Diceros bicornis minor: one gene and its partners. The protein of the gene in region 3 interacts with the protein of the main gene of each other region in a pairwise test. Links are inferred from orthologs where the notes say so. Each region holds a gene or a part of one and is shown on either strand. Other genes may lie near its edges.

What was found.
Region 1: the proteins of RUNDC3A (region 3) and RAP2B interact in binary tests that used the Homo sapiens proteins (3 or more experiments, as listed by UniProt). The two-hybrid records come from large-scale screens. The link is inferred for Diceros bicornis minor from reciprocal best matches to the Homo sapiens genes RUNDC3A and RAP2B.
Region 2: the proteins of RUNDC3A (region 3) and RAP2A interact in binary tests that used the Homo sapiens proteins (3 or more experiments, as listed by UniProt). The link is inferred for Diceros bicornis minor from reciprocal best matches to the Homo sapiens genes RUNDC3A and RAP2A.

What each region holds. Positions count from the first base shown.
Region 1 is NC_080741.1:2,231,172-2,233,769, forward strand, and holds RAP2B (ras-related protein Rap-2b), read right to left. Parts: upstream 1,279-2,598; 5' UTR 1,204-1,278; coding exon 652-1,203; 3' UTR 564-651; downstream 1-563. UniProt on the Homo sapiens protein: Small GTP-binding protein which cycles between a GDP-bound inactive and a GTP-bound active form. Involved in EGFR and CHRM3 signaling pathways through stimulation of PLCE1.
Region 2 is NC_080748.1:73,734,707-73,738,454, forward strand, and holds the start of RAP2A (ras-related protein Rap-2a), read left to right. Parts: upstream 1-1,134; 5' UTR 1,135-1,367; coding exon 1,368-1,681; intron 1,682-3,748. UniProt on the Homo sapiens protein: Small GTP-binding protein which cycles between a GDP-bound inactive and a GTP-bound active form. In its active form interacts with and regulates several effectors including MAP4K4, MINK1 and TNIK.
Region 3 is NC_080757.1:42,891,996-42,895,743, forward strand, and holds the start of RUNDC3A (RUN domain-containing protein 3A), read left to right. Parts: upstream 1-1,138; 5' UTR 1,139-1,189; coding exon 1,190-1,296; intron 1,297-3,748. UniProt on the Homo sapiens protein: May act as an effector of RAP2A in neuronal cells.

The DNA of each region.
Region 1 (2,598 bases), on a different chromosome or scaffold from region 3:
GCAGACACTTTCTGGCACCCCACACTGTATTGGCATCAGTGTTAACAGTCCCAGTTCAGATGTGCAATACTTCAGATTGGATACACTGTAACAAGAACCCAACTTTGCATAGACATCCTCGGAATCGCAATCAGTCACGGGGTTGCCCTTCCAAACTGGCAGAAAAGGAACCCGATCTTAATTTCCAGCTACTCCTGGAAAACAATGAAAAAACAAGTTTCCTCCTCTCCTCCTGCTCCTTCATTTGGTTCTCCCGGACTTCTTCCGTGTACTGAAAACTTGGAACTAGAAAACGGTTGTTGACACGCACACGCACACACACACAAGGTCCCCTCCACCTTCTCCCGTCCTCTTCCTTCCCCACCGCATTTTTTCCTGGCTGAAACTTTCGCTTGCCGGTGTCAAGCTGCCAATACAGCGCCCCAACGACTGCTTCAACGGGGAAATATGCGTCAACCAAAATCAATGAGAAACGTACATGCTGCACAGCGCCACGTTCCCACCGGGTCGCGGAGGGTCAGGGCGGGACAGCCCCTCGGACGCGGGGCGGAGGCCACCCCGGCCGCTGCCGAGTCGTCTCCAACCTCCGAGCGAGAAGGGCATCCCGCCGAGCGCGCCGTGCGCTCGGCTTTGTGCGCGGGGCGCGCGGCCTCAGAGGATCACGCAGGCCGAGCAGCAGCCCTCGTCGCCGTTGGGCTGCGCCGCGTAGTTCATCTGCCGCACGATCTCGGCGAACAGCTCATCCACCGAGGCTTTGTTTTTGGCCGACGTCTCCATGAAGGGGCAGCTCCACTCCTCGGCCAGGGCCTTGCCCTCGCCGAACGAGACCTCGCGCTCGCCCTCCAGGTCCACCTTGTTGCCCACCAGGATCATGGGCACGCGCTCGTACCGCTTCACGCGGATGATCTGGTCCCGCATGGGCTTGATGTCCTGGAAGCTCTGCTGGTTGACGAGGCTGTAGACGAGGATGAAGCCCTGGCCGTTCTTGATGTACAGGTCCCGCATGGACGCGAACTGCTCCGTGCCCGCCGTGTCCAGGATCTCCAGCACCGACGGCGACGAGTCCACCTCGATCTCCTTGCGGTAGAAGTCCTCGATGGTGGGGTCGTACTTCTCGATGAAGGAGCCCGTCACGAACTGCACGGTGAGCGCGGACTTGCCCACGCCGCCCGAGCCCAGCACCACCACTTTGTACTCTCTCATGGCTCCGTCGTGCCGCGGCCCCGTCGGGGCTGCGCGCCGGGAAGGGCCGGGCTAGGCGGCCGCACTTCTCCCCTGCCTCCGCTCCGCAGGAAGCAGCTCGGCGAGGGCGGCCGGGGCGCGCGGGGCGCCGAGATCGCCGCGCGGGGGCCGGGCCGGGCACGGCGGCGGCGCGTCCCTGGGGCGCGGGTCCGGGGCCCCGCAGCAGCCCGCGGCTGACCGGGAGGACAATGCCGGCAGCCCGCGCGAGGCGACGGCGGCAGCTCCCGGCCGCGGCAGCCCGGGAGGGCCGGCAGGCGGCGGCGGCTGGCTGCGGAGGCGGCTGCTAGCGGCGCGCCGGGCCGGGACGCGCGTGGCATGAGTCCCCGCGGAGCGTGCGCCCGCCGCCGCGGCCCATCGCGCTCTCTCCCGCAGCCTCCGCGGCCCAGGGCTTCCTGCCCGCCGCGCGCGGCCGGCCCTCCCCGCCCCGCCTCGCCCCGCCCGCCCGGCCCGCGAGCATGCCCAGTGCGCCGCCGCCCGCCGCCCGCCGCCCCTGGCTTTCCGGGGGCGGGACTGGGGGCCGGCCGGGGCGGGGCCGGGGCGGGGCGGCGGAGCGCGCGGGCGGGTGCCGGAGGGCGCGGGTCTAGAACCCGACCAGAGCAGCGCGGGGCTGGGAGGCGGCGGAGCGCTAGGCAGGCTCCGGTGGGAGCACGTGGGCGCCCTCTCCGCGCTCTGCGGGGCGTGCCTGAGGGTCCCGCCCGGGGCCGCGGGCTGTGCCTCCGCCTCCGGTATCAGGAGCCCGAGGACTCCACCCCGGGCCCCCGGCGGGGTGCGTCACGGCCCGGAGAGCCGGCGGGCGTTGGGGGCGCGGAGCGCGGGGGCGGCGAGCATCTCCCGGCGGACGGCGCCGCCCTTCACACCGACCGCCACGGGCACCTACGCGGCCTCGTCACCCCGCACAAAGACCCGAGAGCTGTCCCGACGGGGAAGGGGCCGCCCCTCGGCACTAGGGCCTCTGCGGGCGGCCACCTGGCGGGTCCCACCGCCTCCCCCGGTGGGGCTGCAGCCCGAGCCCGGCCACCCCCCCAACGCCGAGGGGCGGCGGCCAGGGCTGCTCGGGCGCCGGGCCGGGCTGGGGTGGAAGGAGGCGGCGGCGGCCGCGCACGCCCACCCGCGGGCTCGGCCCCCCGGCCCCCCGGTCCCCCGGCCCCCCGGCCCCGCGCACTCCCCGCCCCGGGGCTCGCCCATTGGCCGCCGCCGGCTCTCGTCCGTTTGGGCGGCGGCGCGCCTGAAAAGTCGCCTCCGCTGGGATTGGGTGATGGGCCGAGCGGAGGGCGGTGCAGCTGCTCTCCGTGCGCCCGCCCCTCCTCCACTGCCCCAACCCAGTCGTTTTGAAGCTAAGAGTGAAAAAATAGGAGG
Region 2 (3,748 bases), on a different chromosome or scaffold from region 3:
TCATGCGTCAGCCCACCTACGATTGGTTGGCAGAGCGTGCGCAGGAGCAAACGCCCAGCCCGGCCAAGCAGTGGGAGGTGGGTTGGACGATCCAGCGACTAGACATTATCCCTGTGGGCCGATGGATGGGCGTCACGTGGTATGAAGCTGCTCCCTATTGGCCGAGAACACTACCATGGGGTCCAGAGACGGGGTCTGGTTGGCTGGAATGAATCCCAGCGTCCTACTAGGTATCCCAGCTGGCTGTTGCTATGAGGTGTCCCTGGGCCTTCTGGCGGCGGCTCGGGGCTCCGCTCTCCCGGTTTTCCAAGCGCCCGGAGCTGACAGGGCGTGGGAAGCGCTCGACAGAAGTCGGGCACTGAAGGGCGGGGCCGGGGGAGGTGGGCGGGGCCCGGCTTCCGCGGTCCCCGGCCTTCGCCGCCTCGGGCAGTGGGCTGTGAGGGGCCTGTCACCTCTCCCTCAGACCTGATGCTTAAAACAAAGCCTCATCTCGTGGTGTTTATGCGCGTCCCCTTAAACAAAGCTTCCTCTCGTTATGTTTACACAACATGAAACCAAAGCTTCTCAGGAATGCTGACAGACAGGAATGCTGGCCGACAGTGGTGTCGGCCAAGGCCCTCACGCCAACGCCTCCTTTTCGACCTTGCCCATGTCTTCTTCTCACTCCCCTCTTCAGGTTAAAGCCTGGAGATTGCTCTGGCCCGCCTAACACCTTGTCTCCGCCAAATTCTGAGCGTGGGATTCTCGAGTTGACGCGGTTCCCGGCTCAGGCGGACAAACTGCGCATGCTCAGTACGCAGGCCTGGGGTTCGACGGGGCGTGCGGGGTGGGGTGTTGGGCGTCCGAGGCGGTTGTTTATCTAAGCGCGGGCAGAGGCTTCCGCGCGGCGCTGAGCCTCCCGGGAGCGCGCGCGGCTGGTCGCTAGGCGACGGGGGTGGGGGCGGGGCTGCGCCGCCAGGCCCCGCCCCGGGCCGCCGGGCCCCGCCCCCGGCAGCACCGCGACTCGGGCTCGGGCGCGCGCTCCGGCGCCGGGGGAAGCGGCGGGCGGGGAGCTGGGCGTGGAGGCGCGAGGGGCGGGGCGGGCGGGCGGCACTGCGGGCCCGCGGCTCGGGCGGCTCCGGCGGCTCCCGCTTCCTGCTCGTCCTCAGAGCCTGCCGGCGCCCGCGGGGCCGCATTGCCGCCCGGCTCGGCCCATGCCCAGGGCCGCTGCTCCCTCCGCCGGCGCCCGGGGGGCTGCGGCGGCCGTGAGGTGGGGGCGGCCGCGGGAGGCGGCGGGGCCGGCCGCCGGCGCAGGGTCCGGGGGCGCAGCGCGGCGGGCGTAGGTCTATGTCGCGGGCGGCGGCGGCGGCGGCGGCCGCGGAGGGACGATGCGCGAGTACAAAGTGGTGGTGCTCGGCTCGGGCGGGGTCGGCAAATCCGCCCTGACCGTGCAGTTCGTGACCGGCACCTTCATCGAGAAATATGACCCCACCATCGAGGACTTCTACCGCAAGGAGATCGAGGTGGACTCGTCGCCGTCGGTGCTGGAGATCCTGGACACGGCGGGCACCGAGCAGTTCGCGTCCATGCGGGACCTGTACATCAAGAACGGCCAGGGCTTCATCCTCGTCTACAGCCTCGTCAACCAGCAGAGCTTCCAGGACATCAAGCCCATGCGGGACCAGATCATCCGAGTGAAGCGGTGAGAGGGCCGGGGTGCAGGCAGGGGGCTCCGCGGTGCGGTCGGCGGCCGCCGTCCCGGGGCCGGGACTCCCTCCCCCGGGCTCCGGCGTGGCCGTGGGCAGGGGGAGCTGTGTAGGGAGGTGGCTCCGGGGTCTTATGCTTTGTAATAAATTTTTTGCCAGCATCGCCATCCTCATCATCTTGAATCTCAAATTTGAGTGCTTTGTTTCACAACTCAAATTTGGCATCCCGTGAACCCACAGCACAGTTCTTTGTCTCTTGGATATTATTAGTAGCGCTTGTGCAGAACCCCAAAGGAGACAAAGTTTAAAACTTGCAAGGGGGAGTGGGGAGGGTAGGTTTGTGTTGGGAGGAAGGGAGCTGTGCAAGTGTAGTGGAGACATTTTCAGACTGAACAACGAAAAAACCTACCTTTGCAATATTTGACAGCAAAAATTGCTCACACGTATGCCGTAAAAATGTCAAGTCGAGAGGAAAGAGACCTTTCTCATCTCAAAAGATTGAATGGTGCCAAGGCGTTTTACGAAAATGAACTCTCCAATTAAGACGAAACTTTAAAAGCGGATTATCAAATTATTTGAAGACACCATAGCAGCTCAGTGGGATTGAGAGAGTATTAGCATATAAGAGTACAAATATGCCGTTCACATTAAAGAATGCAGCTTTTTGTTTTAATCTAGCTGCCTTACCCCCCTCAAAAAAAAAAAAAAAAGAAAAAAGCATTCCTGGAAACAAAAGAGAAGTTTTTTCAGGGTGTGACTCAAGTATTAGATAATTTAAAGTTAATGCAGATAAGGTCTATCCTGATAGAAACTCTTTTCTAGAGTATGCTTTTCGGAAATATGATGGTAGTTTAAATGGCTTAAAATGTTTATTTTCTGTTAAATTGAGTATATTTTTTCTATAGTTTCAAGCATTAAAAATGTAGTAATATCTTAGTTCAAAGTTTTAGCAGATTATTCTAATTACTGTTTAATTACACATTAATGTTTTTGTCTGGTTCTTATTATTAGTTAATAATTGCTAATAATTTTGATTTAGTTTTTCTTTTTCCCACCTAATTCTACCTATAGCTCTAACTTGAAAGACATTTACTGAAAGATGGTTGTAAGTGTACTGTAGACACAATCACATTATAAGTCAGTTGGAGTCTGCTCATTCTGAAAGAGCCAGGGCCAAGTCACGTGTACTAAATCAGGGAGTGCTCAAAAATTCATTACCAGTGGTGGATTTTTAATGCAACAGATGAGATCAAAGAGGAGGCTCTCTCTCCATGACCCCCCCTTAACTCACTGAATATGCACTTTAATAGCTAAACTAAAATTTTGTGTGTTATTTCTTTCATTAAATTTCAAAGTAGGATAAAGTGAATTTTTTCCTGGCCTCTGCTGCTGCTCTAAGATCTGTGAATCTGATAGCTTTTACTTCTCCAACCTTGTTTTCATAATTGCTTATAGTTAACAAATGAACGATTTTGGTGTTAAGCTTAATATGTATATGACATTTTGGGGCTACATTTTAGTGACTCATATCCTTATTTATTACTCCTCCCACCCCAGCTACTCAGAAAAATCCAAAACAAAACTGCAGAACAGAGTAGTCTAATATATTTCACATGTCAGTCTTAGGCCATATACATATATCAAATAGTTGAAGTAAATGCCTCACCCTTTGCATTTAAATATATACATATAATACATACGTTGATAAAGTCACATACCCAGGGCAAACTTCTTGAGACAAGCCTAGGGAACAGAATGGCAAAATATCATTGGATAGTATAGTGCACATGATTTTGTCGTTTCTTATGATTTAGTGCAGATTACTAATAATGGGTTAGTCTAAACTTGGTACAATTTATTTGTAAACTGGAACAATTTGCTTGTTTGCACTGTGACCCAGGAAGAAAAAAAGAGTAAAACTCTACTTGCCCAGATGTCATTTTACTTAGCAGTCTCAGTTTTGATGTAAAAAGATCATTGATCAGCTGAAATAGAGTCCATAAGCTCTTTTCTCTGGATTCATCCATTGTATCCATAAGACCCACTGGGGCCCTTGTGTGTCC
Region 3 (3,748 bases):
CTGTAGGAGCTGGGGATTTCAGTGGGTGAAAGAGAACAGGTTGAACAGAAGAACGGAGCAGGTGGGAGCTGGAATGTGAGAGAGCAACTGGGAGGCAAAAGGCAGCCGAAAAGCCAGACTGTGCCTCCATTTCCCCAACTTCCTGTAAAAGATGTAACCAACTTTGCAGGGCCCTCCTGGCCCTGCAGAGGGTTGATGGCACTATGCAGCAATGCTGGCAGCCAAGGGGTTAACCCTTAGGCGGCTGCCCGTGGGCAGTGAGGTAGGACTGAGGGGAAGCAGTGCCTCGGCTCCATCCCTTCCAGTTTCGTGGGCACCAGCTCTACTGCTGGGAACCACCACAGCGCCCAGGCCCTGAGCTGCCAGTCTCTTCTCCACTCACTGTCCTGAGTGGTTCCAGGGGCTGGGCTCCTCCGGCTTATCCTAGATTCCCATCCCCCACCCCAGGAGGCGTTGACTCGCCGGCTGGTGCAGACAAATACGCAGTGTCTCTGACTGCTCTTTGGCCTCCTAGGTCAGCAGCGTAAGGCCACCTGTGCTCTCCGGATGCACACCTGGCCTTGGCCTCGCGTCCTGGCCATAAAATGGGTGGGGGGCGGGGCTGGAATGAGGGTATTGGAGGTGAGGACCCCATTCCCCAGGCAGCAGGGGGAGAAATCTGAGAGACACCACCGATCACAGGTCAGAAACAAGGGAGGAGAGGCGTCAGAGCTCAGAGACGCGAGGCGAGGGGTCCGGGCCTTGAGTGTGGGGTGGACAGACCAGATGCCCTCTCCCTCCTTCCAATCGCTGCCTCTTCCAGGGACCCCCTCCGCCCTCCCTGGGGCCCCGGTCCGCTCCCCTCCCCCCTAAATCCTGCCCCCTCTGCGGATTGGTCCCCGGCCTGCCTGGGGGCGGGGCCCGAGGGCCCCGACGTCACGGGTCGAGGGGGGCGGGCGGCTGGGGGAGGGGGGCGACGGGCCCCGGCTCAGCACCTCGGAGAGCTCCCTCCCCGGCCTTGTTTTGCTCAGGTACCGCCGCCGGGGGAGGGAGCCAGGGGGCCGGGCATCGGGCGCAGGGGCAGGGGGATGGCCGTGGAGGGATCGAGGGACCCCGGCGGTCAGAGGGCTCAGCCGTGATCCGGCGGGGGGCCGGGGCGCCGGGCGTGGTGGGGGGCAGCTGGCGGAGGCAGCAGTGGCCGCACATCTGAATGGAAGCGAGCTTTGTCCAGACCACCATGGCTCTGGGGCTGTCCTCCAAGAAAGCGTCTTCCCGCAATGTGGCCGTGGAGCGTCGGAACCTGATCACCGTGTGCAGGTGGGCGCCGCTGGCGGGCGGGGGTGGGGCGGTCGGAGAGGCGTCGGGGAGGGCTGCGGAAACCTGGACTGAGGGAGGATGCACAGCAACCGCGGAGACAAGGGAGGAAGCACAGGGTTAAGAGGAGCACGTCCACTGTCCCTCTCAGGCCCAGACAGGGAGGGGGTTTGGAGGTCTGGTCTCTATCCTTCTAGGCCAAGCCAGGCCTATGCCCAGCCTGGGGCCTGGGGGGTGAGGGGTGTTTAATTGGCACTGCAGCTTCCTGTGAGAACCAGGAAGTGACATTGTGCGTGAGGGGGAAGGGGCGGCGATGGCTGGCTCCCTTGCTGGGGGCGGGGTGGGCAGAGGCAGAGTGGGCAGGAGAGAACTGATGGAGTAAGGAGATGAACGCCCTCCAAGCATACCCTCACTCCCAGTCCTGTCAGCCTGGCCTCTCCGGGGTGGGGCTTTCCTGGGAGATTTTCCGACGCTCAAATACTGGAGCAGAGATGGTGTCCTCCTCCATCTCTGGGCATGCAGCCTGTGGCAGAGTCAACTGGGGCATGTGGACAAAGCCCTTTAATCCATCCAGTGAAGGGTGAGGGGCGCTTCCCTGCCGTGGGAAGGACTGAGGGCCTGATCACAGAAGCCTGGGTCTCCTGGGCTCAAGGGGAGGAGACTGGGAGGGCAGGGCCATTGGTCCCTGAGGGTGGGGCTGTCGCAGTGTTGGGAAGATTCACCCACTTTTCTTGGGGCCCAGGAAGTGAACTTTCCCACTTTAGCCCTGCAGTGACTCACCCTCTCTGCCCTGCCCTAAGCCAGGAATGGCCAGTGGCTCAGACACTCTCCTTCAGCCCCCACCTGCACTCATCTCTCCCTCTAGGATCCCCATGCCAGCTGCCTTCTCCACCTGCAACCTCCCCACCCCCCATGCCACCTCTGAGGGCAGGGTGTTCCCAGTGCAGGGCTCAGCTGTCTTCCCTTGCCAGCCCCACCTGCCTGCACACAGGCCCTGGCCCTGCTCCTTCCCCCAGGAATCAGTGCCCACCTGATGCCCTGGCTCCTGGCTCCTCTAGCTCCTCCCAGGTTCCTGGGCACACACCCAACCATACTGCGTCTGTCGCACACCATTATATCCCTACTGCCCAGCACAGTGCTGAGCACATCAGATCTCTGTAAAATGCCTGGAATGTTATAGAAGACATGAATACAGCAATGGCCCAGCCCAAAGTGCAGGCCACTCCCTCCACCCTCACCCCCTCAAACACTGCCAGTGTGGTATAAAACAAAGGTTTCTGCCTTTGGGGCCAGATGGTCCTAGGTTCAAACTCTTACTTCATTAGTTATTAGCTGTGCAACCTTGGGGAAGTCTCCTAACCACTCTGGGCCTTGGGTGCCCTATTATCCCCATTGTAGATGGGGTATGTAACAGCCACACCAAGGAATGGTAATGACATAATCCACCTAGGAGCCTAGCCCAGTGCCTGGTACATGAAAATAGCCCCATCCTGATGACACCCTTCCTGTCCTTCTCCTCTCTCTTGACCTCCTAGGTTCCGCTTCTTTCTCTTGCCTCCCAGGACAGCTGGGCCTCTTGAGTGTGTGGGGAAGGGGGATCTCTTCTTGGTCTAGGCTGGAGAAGCAGAGGTTCTGGTGGATTGGAAGTGAGCTTAGAACTGGGGTGTGAGGATAAGAGCTTTGGCGGGGGGAAGGAGGTGTGGCAATGGCTCAGAAACCCCTCAGGCCCCTGCGCCTCGTCACTGTCACGTGGTTTGCCTCCAGCTCCCAGAACAGTTCCCTTTAGCAGGCTGAGGGCTCCACGGGGCCCTCGCCTCCCTGTCTCCATGGTAACCTGCAGCAGCCACTGTACCTCCTAACAGGGAGCACGCCATGGGGCTCCCAGGGGCGATGACCAGCTCTGCAGCATCCCTGAGGACAGATGGCAGACGGCTGCAATCTTGATACCAGCCCCAGGCCCCCACTGAGGTCTGACCCAGATGACCAGAAGAAATCATGGGGGTGGGGGGCAGGCTTCATACTGAAGCCCAGATAATGCCCTAAACACAGGCTCCTTCTGGCAGGGCTGACCTTCCCATTAATGCCCAGCTCCTCACCACCGCTGCCCAATGACCTGTACACACTCACCTTCTCCCAGTCCTTCCTGGGATCTGAACCAAAATTTAATGAGGCAGATACTATTATTCCTGTTTGCACCTGGGAAATGGGCCTCAGAGAGATTAAATGACTTGTTCAAGGCCACACAGGTATCACAAGGAAACAGGATTTGAGTCCACCAGGCTGCCTCCCCCTAGGGTAACCCCAACACTGATCTAGATCTGATCTCAGGCCAGACCAACTCTAAGCCCAAAGGAAAGGGAGGGAGCTCCGTGGGCTCAGCTGTGGCATTGGCCTGAGAGCCTCAGAGGCCAGTGCTCAAGGGCTGGATCCTGCAGAGTGGAGGACAGAGGGCGGA